Linked DNA regions of Caenorhabditis elegans. The protein of the gene in region 3 purifies or fractionates together with the protein of the main gene of each other region. This does not show direct contact. Each region holds a gene or a part of one and is shown on either strand. Other genes may lie near its edges. The genes, in order: Y105E8A.11, dao-3 and lys-8.

The links.
Region 1: the proteins of lys-8 (region 3) and Y105E8A.11 fractionate together in Caenorhabditis elegans (co-fractionation; one large-scale study listed by BioGRID). This does not show direct contact.
Region 2: the proteins of lys-8 (region 3) and dao-3 fractionate together in Caenorhabditis elegans (co-fractionation; one large-scale study listed by BioGRID). This does not show direct contact.

The regions. Positions count from the first base shown.
Region 1 is NC_003279.8:14,430,661-14,434,257, forward strand, and holds Y105E8A.11 (BolA-like protein 3), read left to right. Parts: upstream 1-2,130; 5' UTR 2,131-2,132; coding exon 2,133-2,304; intron 2,305-2,861; coding exon 2,862-3,010; 3' UTR 3,011-3,090; downstream 3,091-3,597. Other genes in the region: hpo-13 (Non-lysosomal glucosylceramidase), read left to right, coding at 759-1,023.
Region 2 is NC_003284.9:8,084,813-8,088,572, reverse strand, and holds the start of dao-3 (C-1-tetrahydrofolate synthase, cytoplasmic), read left to right. Parts: upstream 1-2,022; 5' UTR 2,023-2,023; coding exon 2,024-2,146; intron 2,147-2,435; coding exon 2,436-2,609; intron 2,610-2,731; coding exon 2,732-3,110; intron 3,111-3,575; coding exon 3,576-3,760. Other genes in the region: Protein vem-1, read left to right, coding at 12-134, 194-445, 662-838.
Region 3 is NC_003280.10:5,584,091-5,587,850, forward strand, and holds lys-8 (LYSozyme), read left to right. Parts: upstream 1-2,087; 5' UTR 2,088-2,088; coding exon 2,089-2,339; intron 2,340-2,647; coding exon 2,648-2,924; intron 2,925-3,120; coding exon 3,121-3,453; 3' UTR 3,454-3,561; downstream 3,562-3,760. Other genes in the region: C17G10.13 (THAP-type domain-containing protein), read right to left, coding at 3,613-3,760.

The DNA.
Region 1 (3,597 bases), on a different chromosome or scaffold from region 3:
ATATATCTCATAGCGAAAACTACAGTAACTTCTTAATGTCGATTTACGGGCTCGATTTTCGGATTGAATTTTTTTTTCGAGTTTTCGTAAGTCATATTTGATCGTGAAATAAATTATTACCGTAAATCCACATAAGCAGTACAGTAGCATTTTAAAGAATTACTATAGTTGTCGCTACGAGATATTTTTTGCGCGTTAAATGTGTTGTGCAACACGCATATTTAGTGTTCATATAATACGTTTTATAAAACATTAAACGATAAATTTAAATTTCCCGAATTTTGAACTCGAAAAACTGAAAATCGAAAAAATTGTGAGGAAAAGAAATTTGTTGAAAAAAAAAACTGAAATTTGTTTTTTTTAATAGATTTTTCCAAAAAAAAAAAAAAAAAATTTTCCACACATTTCTAAAAAAAATCCCAAAAAAAATTCAAAAATTAGAAAAAAATCCAAAAAAATCAAAAATTATTTTTTCAAACTTCCAAAAATACTCGTAATCCCAAAAAAAAAAGTTTGAAACTTTACAAAAAATTAAAAAAAAACATTAAAACTTTTTTTTTTTTGATTCCAGAAAAATTTGGATATTCAAAAAAGCAAAAATTCATAAAACTAATTCCAAAAAATGGAAATTTATTTTTAAAAATAGAAACAAAAAATTCATATCCAAAAAAACAATAATTTTGGAATTTTTTTTTTATTTCCAAACATTTTTTCTTTAAAAAATCCCAAAAATTAATCCTAAAATATCCGAATTTCAGATTCTACCGAGCCATTGGTTACATGCGTCCTCTATCGATTTGGGCAATGCAATGGTCACTAAAAAAGCATTGTGGAATGAATACGAGTGAAGAAAAATTGCCGAATTTGGTGAAAAATGAAAAAGTTGTTCCGGAATCCGAAGCAGCAATTCAAGTACAGAAACAACGAATATTAGGGGATACAAGTGAAGATGGTTCGAGTTTAGGATATGTTAGTGATTATCATGATGAGAGGAGTATTCCAAAGATTGCTACACTACGATAATTGTACTTTTTAACTGATTTTTTTGGATATTTTCCCGATTTTTTGTATTTTACGTGGTCTTTTATTTTTCGAATTTTCGATTGTGCAATGACGTTTTTACAATGCAATACAAGTATTTTTTTGAAAAATTTTTTCTGATTTTTATATTTTCTGTTGTCCATTTAGGATATCAATTTATGCTATTTGCCTTTTTTTTTTTTTTTGGAAAAAAAATTTGAATTTCTTGAAAAAGTTAGCTAATTACGGTGTTTTTTAGGATGAGCTTTTTTTTTTGAAAAATTAAAAACATTTTTTGAATTTTTTCCTCAATTTTTTGAAAATGTTATAGTAATCACGGAAGCTTAAATTTAAAAAAAAACCATTTAGAATTTTTTTTTCACAATTTTGAAACTGATTTTTTTTTTTGAGAAAATTCGCATTTTTTCAACAAAAAAATTCTGAAAAATGTTGACAATCTGTATTTTTAAGCTAATTTTTAAAAGCTTAATAATTGGGAAAAAAATCAAAAAAATTCAATTTCATGTAATGTAAATTATGCATTGCAGGTGACTTTTTGAATGTAAAATTTGAAAAATTTGATTAAAAAAAGTTTTTTTTGAATATTTCGCTAAAGGAATACTTTCTAATTAACTAGATAAATATTTTAACTTTTAAAGCATTTTCTGGTAATTTTTTGGAATTTTCAAATATTACGAATTTTTGTCGAAGTTGAATTCTAGAAAATCTTTAAAAAAGTTTGAATTTTTTGAAAATTTTTTCGAAAAAAAAAAATTTAATTACTTTTTTGAAAAATAGAACAAATGTAACATTTATTATATAATATATAATAGTATATAATAATATAATAATATTTAATAATATATAAAATATATAATAATAATATATAATAGAACATTTATTGATTTTTTTTCGAAAATTTCAATTTTTTTTCTAATTTTTAAACTAAAAAAGCTAAAATTACGAATTTTCGGCATTTTTCAGAATTTATAAAAACCTCGAGAATTTGAAAAAATAACAAATTTTTTGTTTAAATGTGAAATTTCTTGTTTTTTTTTCTCTCCAAATCTGAAAAAAATCGAAAAAAAAGCTATCATTTCTCGAAATTTCAGATGCTCCGCCTTGCCACCCCACTGAGATCAGGCCTCCTCTCCTCAGCAATCAGGCGTCACTCGGCATGTTGTGGTGGAGAGCACAAAATGTCAGAAGCCGAGCTGAAAATGAGCAAGTTGCTCACTGAGGGAATTGATGGATGTACTCGTGTCGAGGTTCACGATGTTTCTAGTGAGTACGCTACAAACTACAATAGGCATACTACAGACTACAAAATATACACTACAAACTACAATAATCACACTACAAACTACAATAGACATACTATAAACTAGTATAATCAGACTAATATTTGTAGTTTGTAGTCTATACGTGGGGTATTCATTCATGATTTTTTTGTTCCGCTCACAAAATTAATGGTAGAAATAATGAAAAACAAGTTAGTTACTGTATACTATAAACTACAAACTACAAACTACGAAATATAAACTGCAAGCCAAACACTACAAACTATAAACTATACACTACAAACTATAAAATGTACACTATAAATTCCAAATTATACAACACTAACTACAAACCATACACTACAAACTACAAAATATATCCACAAACTACTATCTATACACTACAAACTACAAATTGTATACGACCAACTACAAGCTAAACACTACAAACTATAAAATGTACACTATAAATTCCAAACTATACAAAACTAACTACAAACTCCAAAATATACCCTACAAACTACAAACTATACACTACAAACTACAAGCTCCATATTACAGATGGCTGCGGATCAATGTTCGACGTGGTCGTTGAAGCCGCCGGTTTCAAGGGAAAATCGAAAGTTGCTCAACACAAACAGGTCACCTCCATTCTCCGGGAGCAGATTAAGGATATGCATGGGCTCACGATCAAGACAAAAGCCGCCTAGATACTAATTATCGATTTTTTTTGTCTAGTTATTGATTAGTTCAAAGGACATAATATCGTAAAGAATATTTTAAATTCGAACTTTTTGAATATTGTAGATCTCTTTTTTTGCAAAAAAATCGAAATTCGCGCGCGCTAATCAGGAGATCATTTACCAATGGATTCGATGCACATGAGATAAAATATTGGGAGAAAGGGGAAAATATCTGAAAAATGGGTTAGAAATGGCTGAAAATTACGAAAAATCGATAGTCGATGCACCATGACGCCAGTTTTTTTGCTGAATTTTGCGAAATATAGGCCTGAATTGTGTGAAGTCTTAAAAAGGGCGGACTAGAAGATAAGCCTGTAAATTTCGATCTGAACAAAAAATAGTCAGAATATAATAGTTCTAAGAATGTTTAATACTGTTTTTGTACAACATTATGTATTTAGTTTATCCATGTCTTTATACAATACAACTCTTATTTTATTTCATCACGAGTTTAATCGGTAATAAATCAAATCAATAGAATTATTTTATTAATAGAATAAAGGTATAGGATGTAACTGCCACTCACGCACACTGATCGATCTTATAAGGGTTTA
Region 2 (3,760 bases), on a different chromosome or scaffold from region 3:
GTACAGTCACAATGGATCTTAGCTCTTGGTTTGAATTCACAATGTACGACGCGGTCTTCCTTGTCGTCGTTCTCGGATTCTTTTTCTACTGGCTCACCAGATCCGAGCAACCGCTCCCAGCTCCACCAAAAGAAGTAAGTATTTGATTAGCTTCTTTAATGAACATGTATTTTTTCTAAATCCTGAACTTAAGCTCGCCCCATTGCCAATGTCCGATATGACAGTTGAAGAGCTGCGCAAGTACGATGGTGTCAAAAATGAGCACATTCTGTTTGGACTCAACGGAACTATCTATGACGTGACTCGCGGAAAAGGATTTTACGGACCAGGAAAAGCCTACGGTACACTTGCCGGGCATGACGCTACCCGCGCGCTTGGAACCATGGACCAGAATGCTGTTTCTAGCGAGTGGGATGATCATACTGGAATCTCTGCTGACGAGCAGGTAGGCTATGCAGTTTTCTCATGAGTAAGAACGTGAAAGTTCGTTATAAACATTTAATCCTTAAAGTCATTGTTTTATGATTTGTGGTATTTATTCATAACTCAGGCATAAACCATAACTTTTTTGTGTCATCAATATGACATCGAAGCTAATTCAAATGTATATTGCCTCGGTCAGATTGATTGTGAACAAAAAAACCTAAATTGATTTTTACAGGAAACCGCCAACGAATGGGAGACACAGTTCAAATTCAAGTACTTGACTGTTGGACGTCTGGTAAAGAATAGCTCGGAAAAAGCAGATTATGGAAATAGAAAATCGTTTGTTCGTGGAGCCGAGTCTTTGGATTCGATTATCAATGGTGGCGACGAGGGCACAAAAAAGGATAACTAATTGTATTCAAATCCATAATTGTTGCACATTCCAAAACGGTTACATCTTATTTTATGTTCTTTGTATGATATGAAATCCCATTGTCCATCCCTTCTCACCATCTCTCGCAAATTTTATATAAATACTGTGATTTAGTTGTTTTTCAAATCGAAGAATGATTTTGAATAAATGATTTTTGTGTACGCCTTTGAAAAATGTTAATATTTAATATTTACTTCATTATTTTCACTGTTCAATTGCTCCGATAATTTGGATTGTGCAGGTTTTAGGACATTATTGATAAGACTTGTTTTCTTCATTTTAAATCATTTGAAAAAAACATTTGAGAATAACATGTTTTGATTTCTGGTTAATAGAAATAGACACTTTTTAAAAATCAACGTTTCCCAGTTTATAAGAAAAATAATGAGTTTCACATTCAAATTTGCAAGGTAAGAAGTTTTCATGATAAGATCCCAGTCCCATTGTAGTCAAAATGTTGATATGATTATTGTTTTTATCTCGGCAAATTGCTGGGTAAAAAGAGATTTTGCGTCGTATGGATGCCGATAAGATTTCTGTGTTATGCGCGCGCATTGCATGCAAGGCCAGCCGCCGACTGTTATCGATTTTCATGGTCCGCCGCCACGCGTTCGTATTGGACATTTCTGCACTGTGTCCATTATTTTGATATATTGTTAACATATAAGGCAGCAAAAACTTTCAAAAGTATTATTTTCATGTGACAAAAATTGAATTTTGTTCCTTGATACACTGTTTTCATTTTCAAGCAAACATGTTTAATGCGGAAGCTTTGACATCGAAACTGTCGGTGGAACATGTATTTTCCATGAGAATGTCGCTGACAAGCAACTCTAGTCACTCGACACATAAAATCATAGCGATCTTCAGCATAAGATAACAAGGCCAGGCCGTTTTAAAACTCTTCTCATCACTCCCCCACAAACAACAGACCGCTATGCATATTCAACTTTTTCGACGCTTTATTTTTTCACTCTGTCCCCCACCATCGAAATGTGAATATGTGCTAAGTTTCCAATCAGCTTGTCCTCTGACTTCTGCACTAGTCTCTTCCCATGAATAGCCAAGTACAAGAGGAGTTTCGTACTCTTTTCCTTTACTCTTCCCCTTCTTGTTTTCTTGACGTATTTTTCAACTTGATTATTACTTTGTTTATTTTTTAGAATGGTCGCGGAGATCGTCAGTGGACTCGAGTACTCAAAAAAGGTTCTTCACGATGTCGGACAGAAAATCGCAAAAACCCGTGAGCACCACCCAAATTTTCATGCAGTATTGGCAATTGTTCAGGTATGAAAGCTTACCACTGATAATAATTTTATTTCAAGCATTGCTATTAACTTAATAATATTTCTAAATTGAATATATGAAAATGAAAATCTCTGTCCAATCTGTGTTTTGAGTTCATGACGTACATAAGTGCATTGCATACTTACAAAACAGATTTTGAAAGTTTTGCAGAGCGTAATTTGTAGTTGTGGTGTACTTTTGAGATACCGGCTTTTATTTCGTAACAAGACAAATAATATCCGAGGGGATATCTGTTATACTGAATAACTCAAAGTCTCAAAATTTGCAGGTTGGAAATCGTTCAGACTCCAATGTGTACATTAATTCCAAACTGAAAAAAGCAAAGGAAATCGGAGCAGATGGAAAACTCATTAAGTTGCCAGACACCATCACTCAAGGAGATTTGAAGCGAGAGATTATGGCTCTTAATCATGACAACGAGATTGACGGAATTATCATTCAGGTTAATATAACGGATTAAGTTGTAATATTGAAATGTTAACTTATAACGGAAAAAAAACACATCTCAGTTAATTAAAAAAAAACATCGGAAGCTAAACAATAATAGCAAGTTATTAATTTCAGCTTCCACTGGACTGCAAGCACGAAATCGACGCAGACTCTGTTATCGACTTGATTGACCCATTGAAAGATGTCGATGGACTGACTCGTATCAATGCTGGACGTTTGGCTCGTGGAGAACTCCAGCGTACGATCTTTCCTTGCACTCCGTTTGGATGCTTGTACTTGGTTCAACAGGCAACTGGTGATGCCAACTTTGTGTCTGGAAAGGAGGTGGTTGTTTTGGGACGCTCGAAAATTGTCGGATCTCCAGCCGCTGCGCTTTTCTTGTGGCATCATGGAACTGTGACAATCTGCCACTCAAAAACTCCAAATCTCAAGGAGAAATGCCTGAGAGCAGATATTTTGATTGTGGCAATTGGGAGAAAACATTTCGTCAAAGGTAGATTATCAATAAACCTAAATTTGAGATAGTGCACAGTACTGGCCATACAGATATCAAAAGATTGATTTCAACTTCAGCAAACGTGGTTATTCCGAGCTGAGATCTGACTATAGTAAAATAGTGAAAGTTTTTATATCCTGATTTTTTGGAATTCATCATTGAACAAATTTCGCGTTGCTTTTTTCATAATTACGCCCAAATCCATTTAAAAGAAGAATCTTGGCAAAAGTTATTACGAGTAGACCTTTATATGAGCAGCACGGTATTTACTTGCTAACCTAAAAGTTTGTAAGTCATTAAATTATGCAAAATATCTATAATAGAAACCCCAATTTAAGAACTATCAATGTTTAGTATGCACCTGACTGTTTGCAACTTCTGAATTGTTTTGCATCAAATAGAAACAGACTCTCTGTTCTGATAAGTGTCAGCGTTTTTTACAAATAAAAGCATATATTTCAGCTGATTGGATCAAGCCTGGCGCATTCGTCATCGACTGTGGAATCAACGTTGGTGACGACCCAAACTCACGCAAAATTTACGGAGATGTTGACACAGAAGCCGCAAAGGAAGTCGCCGGATTCCTCACACCTGTCCCCGGAGGCGTTGGACCAATGACTGTTGCCATGCTCATCCGTAACACATTT
Region 3 (3,760 bases):
AAGGAAGTACAGTTGACTCAAAACAACTGGAAAACGGACACAAAGTTGCAACCAGCAATGAACGATGCAATTGCAAAGAATGCGGTCGTTCTGGCATCAGCTGAAAGAAACTTGCAGACTCGAGGGCCCAAGCATCTCAAAAGAGTCAAAAAGTTTCTTTACGGTCAATATCCAAAGGTTTGTTATCAGGAATCAATATTCAAAGCTCTAGTTTCTTCAGAAGTTTTTCATAAATGTAACCATAAAGTTTCACTTTTCAGTATGTGGATATGAAGAGAGATCTGCTGAAGGTTGTCAAACAACAGAAGCCGGAAACCCAAAGTGTTCGCGATGAAAGTGCTCAAGCGATTTCGAAGTTCATCAAGGAAAAGTATGTGAATGCCAAAATATTGCATCTCGGAGAAATTCAAAGTGCTTTCGTCGAGTTGAGCGTTAGTTTTTTTTGAATATATTATTTATTTACACAAATTATCATTTCAGTTTTTCCATCGTACATCCGCTTTCACTTGGCATCAAATCGCTGAACGACAACCTCCAAAGTCTTCATATCACACCGAGAACTTCGACTTTCAACAATTCTTCACAGCACCTCCAAAAATGTAAACTTTGACGTCACCAATGATTTTTTTATGATGATTTATGATAATAAAGTGAGAGAGAAATGTGTGTGTATTCAGAAGGAAAAAACATAAGTAAATACAGGAAGAAGCTAAAAAAGAATATATATTCGTTTTTTTACGATATCATTGAATTTCTGATTTTTCAATTTTCAAAGGAACATTGGATATAGAACAAGCTATATGATATCTGGAACATCAAAATGTGGCATAATATTAAAAGTAATGAAATAGGCGGTAGGCACATAGACAGGCAGGCGGGCAGTAGGATCACGAAAGAAATACAGAACATCGACGACAGGCATGAAGGTAGACATGTGGCAGGCAAGTACGGATGGAAACTAAAATACTGAAAACCCAATGTAGGTAGGAGAGCCTAAAGAGGTCCCTGGATATAATTGAAGCCACTTTAAAGTTAAGTAAATATACGTTAACTGAAGAATTCAACAATTTGGCCAAGAATTAGTTGAAATTAATAATGGATCAAAAATCTTCAAAGTTTTTAGAAAATACCAATAATTGGCTTCAGGACTAAAATTTATCGTTTTTGTTATTTGTTCAATGAATAGACAGACACGTCACTTTTCATTATCAAATACTAAATTGATCTCGAAATGGATCTACAATTTCAGCTGTTTCAACAATTCGAATTCTTTACTCTCTGTTCCTCTGGAAATGACATCACTTCTTAAACTCGTCATCTTCGTTTTTATTCCATCCAAAGACAAATCTCGACTAATTGAATTCACATTAAAAATAGATTAATGATTTTTAAACAATTGGATTGCTCACAGGGGCTATCGTTGGATGTTAGTACAGTTTAAACAGACATGTTAAACGGTAAAAATATAGTGAAATGGGAAAAATTATGGAACAAGAAGGAGAATGTTTATTCAGCTGCAAATGGGATTTTTGTATAAAAGAATTGGTATAGTGCTGAAGGAGAATATCATACATTTTACAGTTCTAGTTTTCAAGAACTTTCAATTTTCTTCGCTGTTATGGTCAAAGTTGAACGTAAAACATATGCATAATCGCTTTGAAAATCTTACCACTATCTGTTAGTCAGAAAAAAATTGTGTTCACTTATGAACTATCAATTTAATAAAAGACAACAAATTGTCATTTACGAGAATTTGAACCTAGAAAAAATCATCAAAACGCCCACGCTCAATTACCGGTATTCCACATAATTTGTGATGTTCTTTTCATCGACATTAATGACATAAAAGTGTGTACACAGTTACTGATAACAGAGTGTGATATCATGATAATGTTTTCCGAAATTATAAATTCAGATGGACAAGCGGTACTTGCCAGCTCTTTGATAAAGACTATAAATCATGATAACCACTCCAGTTTCTTCAACATTTCGGTTTAGTATTTGATTTTTATAAAATTTGGTTTCTTATTCTTTGTTCTTTTTGTTAATAATTTTCTCTTAACTCATTCAAGTTGAACATTTTCTAGAATGCTTCTCAAATCAGTGGCTCTTTTGTCAGTACTGGCAGTACTTTGCCATTCGGCTTCAGTCTCCGTCAAGGTCCTTCCATTCGTTGACTCATCTCTTCCAGTCAAATTCAGAGAAGTCATTGCTGAGGCTGCTCCACGAGTTCCACCAAATTTGGCTTCATATGCTTTCGCTGTTGATTTGTCTGTTCCAGTTTCATTGAGCCAGCTTCAGTGCCTCAAACAAGCTGGTTATTCGGCAGTCTTTGTCCGGTAAGAATTGAAAAAGATTTTATGATTTACCTATCTATAAATTGTTATTTATAAAAAAAAGTTGAATCTTTTTTTGCCCAAGGTTGGCCCAAGTGTAAAGATATTGTCAACAGTTGAATTAAACTTGAGCTAAACCAGAACAAGTTCTGGTCATGTATTGTCACTTCAGAACCTTTTTAATATTTTTGGCCAAACTTGGGCAAACATTTGCCTGCTTTCGTTTCTGATTAATTCATTTTTCGATTCCAAACGTTCATAATTTGATGAACATTTTCTAAAACTCCATAACAATTAAATCGAATTTCCAGTGCATACAACCCAGCTGGACAAGGATCCTTCGACACCAACTCCTGCAATACTATTCAGAATGCGTATAACGCTGGACTCGGAACAGAGATCTACATGACTCCACAGCCGGCTTCAAGCAAGCAAGGATACCAACAATTGGATGAGATCTACCAAGGATTGACTGCAAGAGGAATAACAATCAGATCTGTATGGATCCAGGTCACTTCTCCAACCAACTGGCCAAGCAATGCTAATAACAATGTCAACTTTATCAACAGTATTGTGTCAAGAGCTAGAGTAAGTTTCCTGTAGAAGCTTGATTTTTTGCTCAAGGAATTGAAATACATTCAAATACGAAAACTCGAATGATTCGTATTATAGTCTAAAACATTGATTAATCTGATAAGACCTTTGGGTTAAGACGTTTTTAAACTGAACCGATTAGTTCATACTTCTGCAACAAATTTCATATCAAAATTCATATAATTTACAGCAATATGGAATGACTGTCGGAATCTACACTTCCTACTACGACTGGAACCAGATCACCAACGGATGGAGCAGCATTGGAAATGATGTTCTCCTCTGGTACTGGAATGTCCTTGGAGGTGGTGTCAATGGAGAGACCCCGGCCAGTTTTGCTGATTTCCGCGCGTTCGGATGCTGGACTACTCCATCTGTCAAACAATTCGCTCAAGTTGAGCAAGTTTGCCAGTTCACTGTCAACAGAGATGTTTATGCTGCTGGAACTATGCTCAAGGCCGCTGACGCTGTTGAAGAGGATGGAAAGATCTACGCTGGAGGATTCATTCAAGGAAGTCAATAGATTTTATCAGTTCCGAAAATAAGTGGAATTTGACTACTTATATTTTGTATCTAACTGTACCCCCAATATGTTATGAAAATCTGAAAATAAAGTTTATTACAAAAAAACAAAACACGAGAATCTAAAAACAAATAACAACAAAACAATGCGAGCTTGGCTCTAATTTTCTATATCTATTTCCGAGTCCGTTCCCTTTTCCATTTTGATATTCGTATTGTCTTCTTTGACTTCAACGAACGTGTTTCCTTCAAGCTTGAATGCCAGTACTTTCTCCTGGGAAACAACATTTGGAACAGCTGTTTTAAGA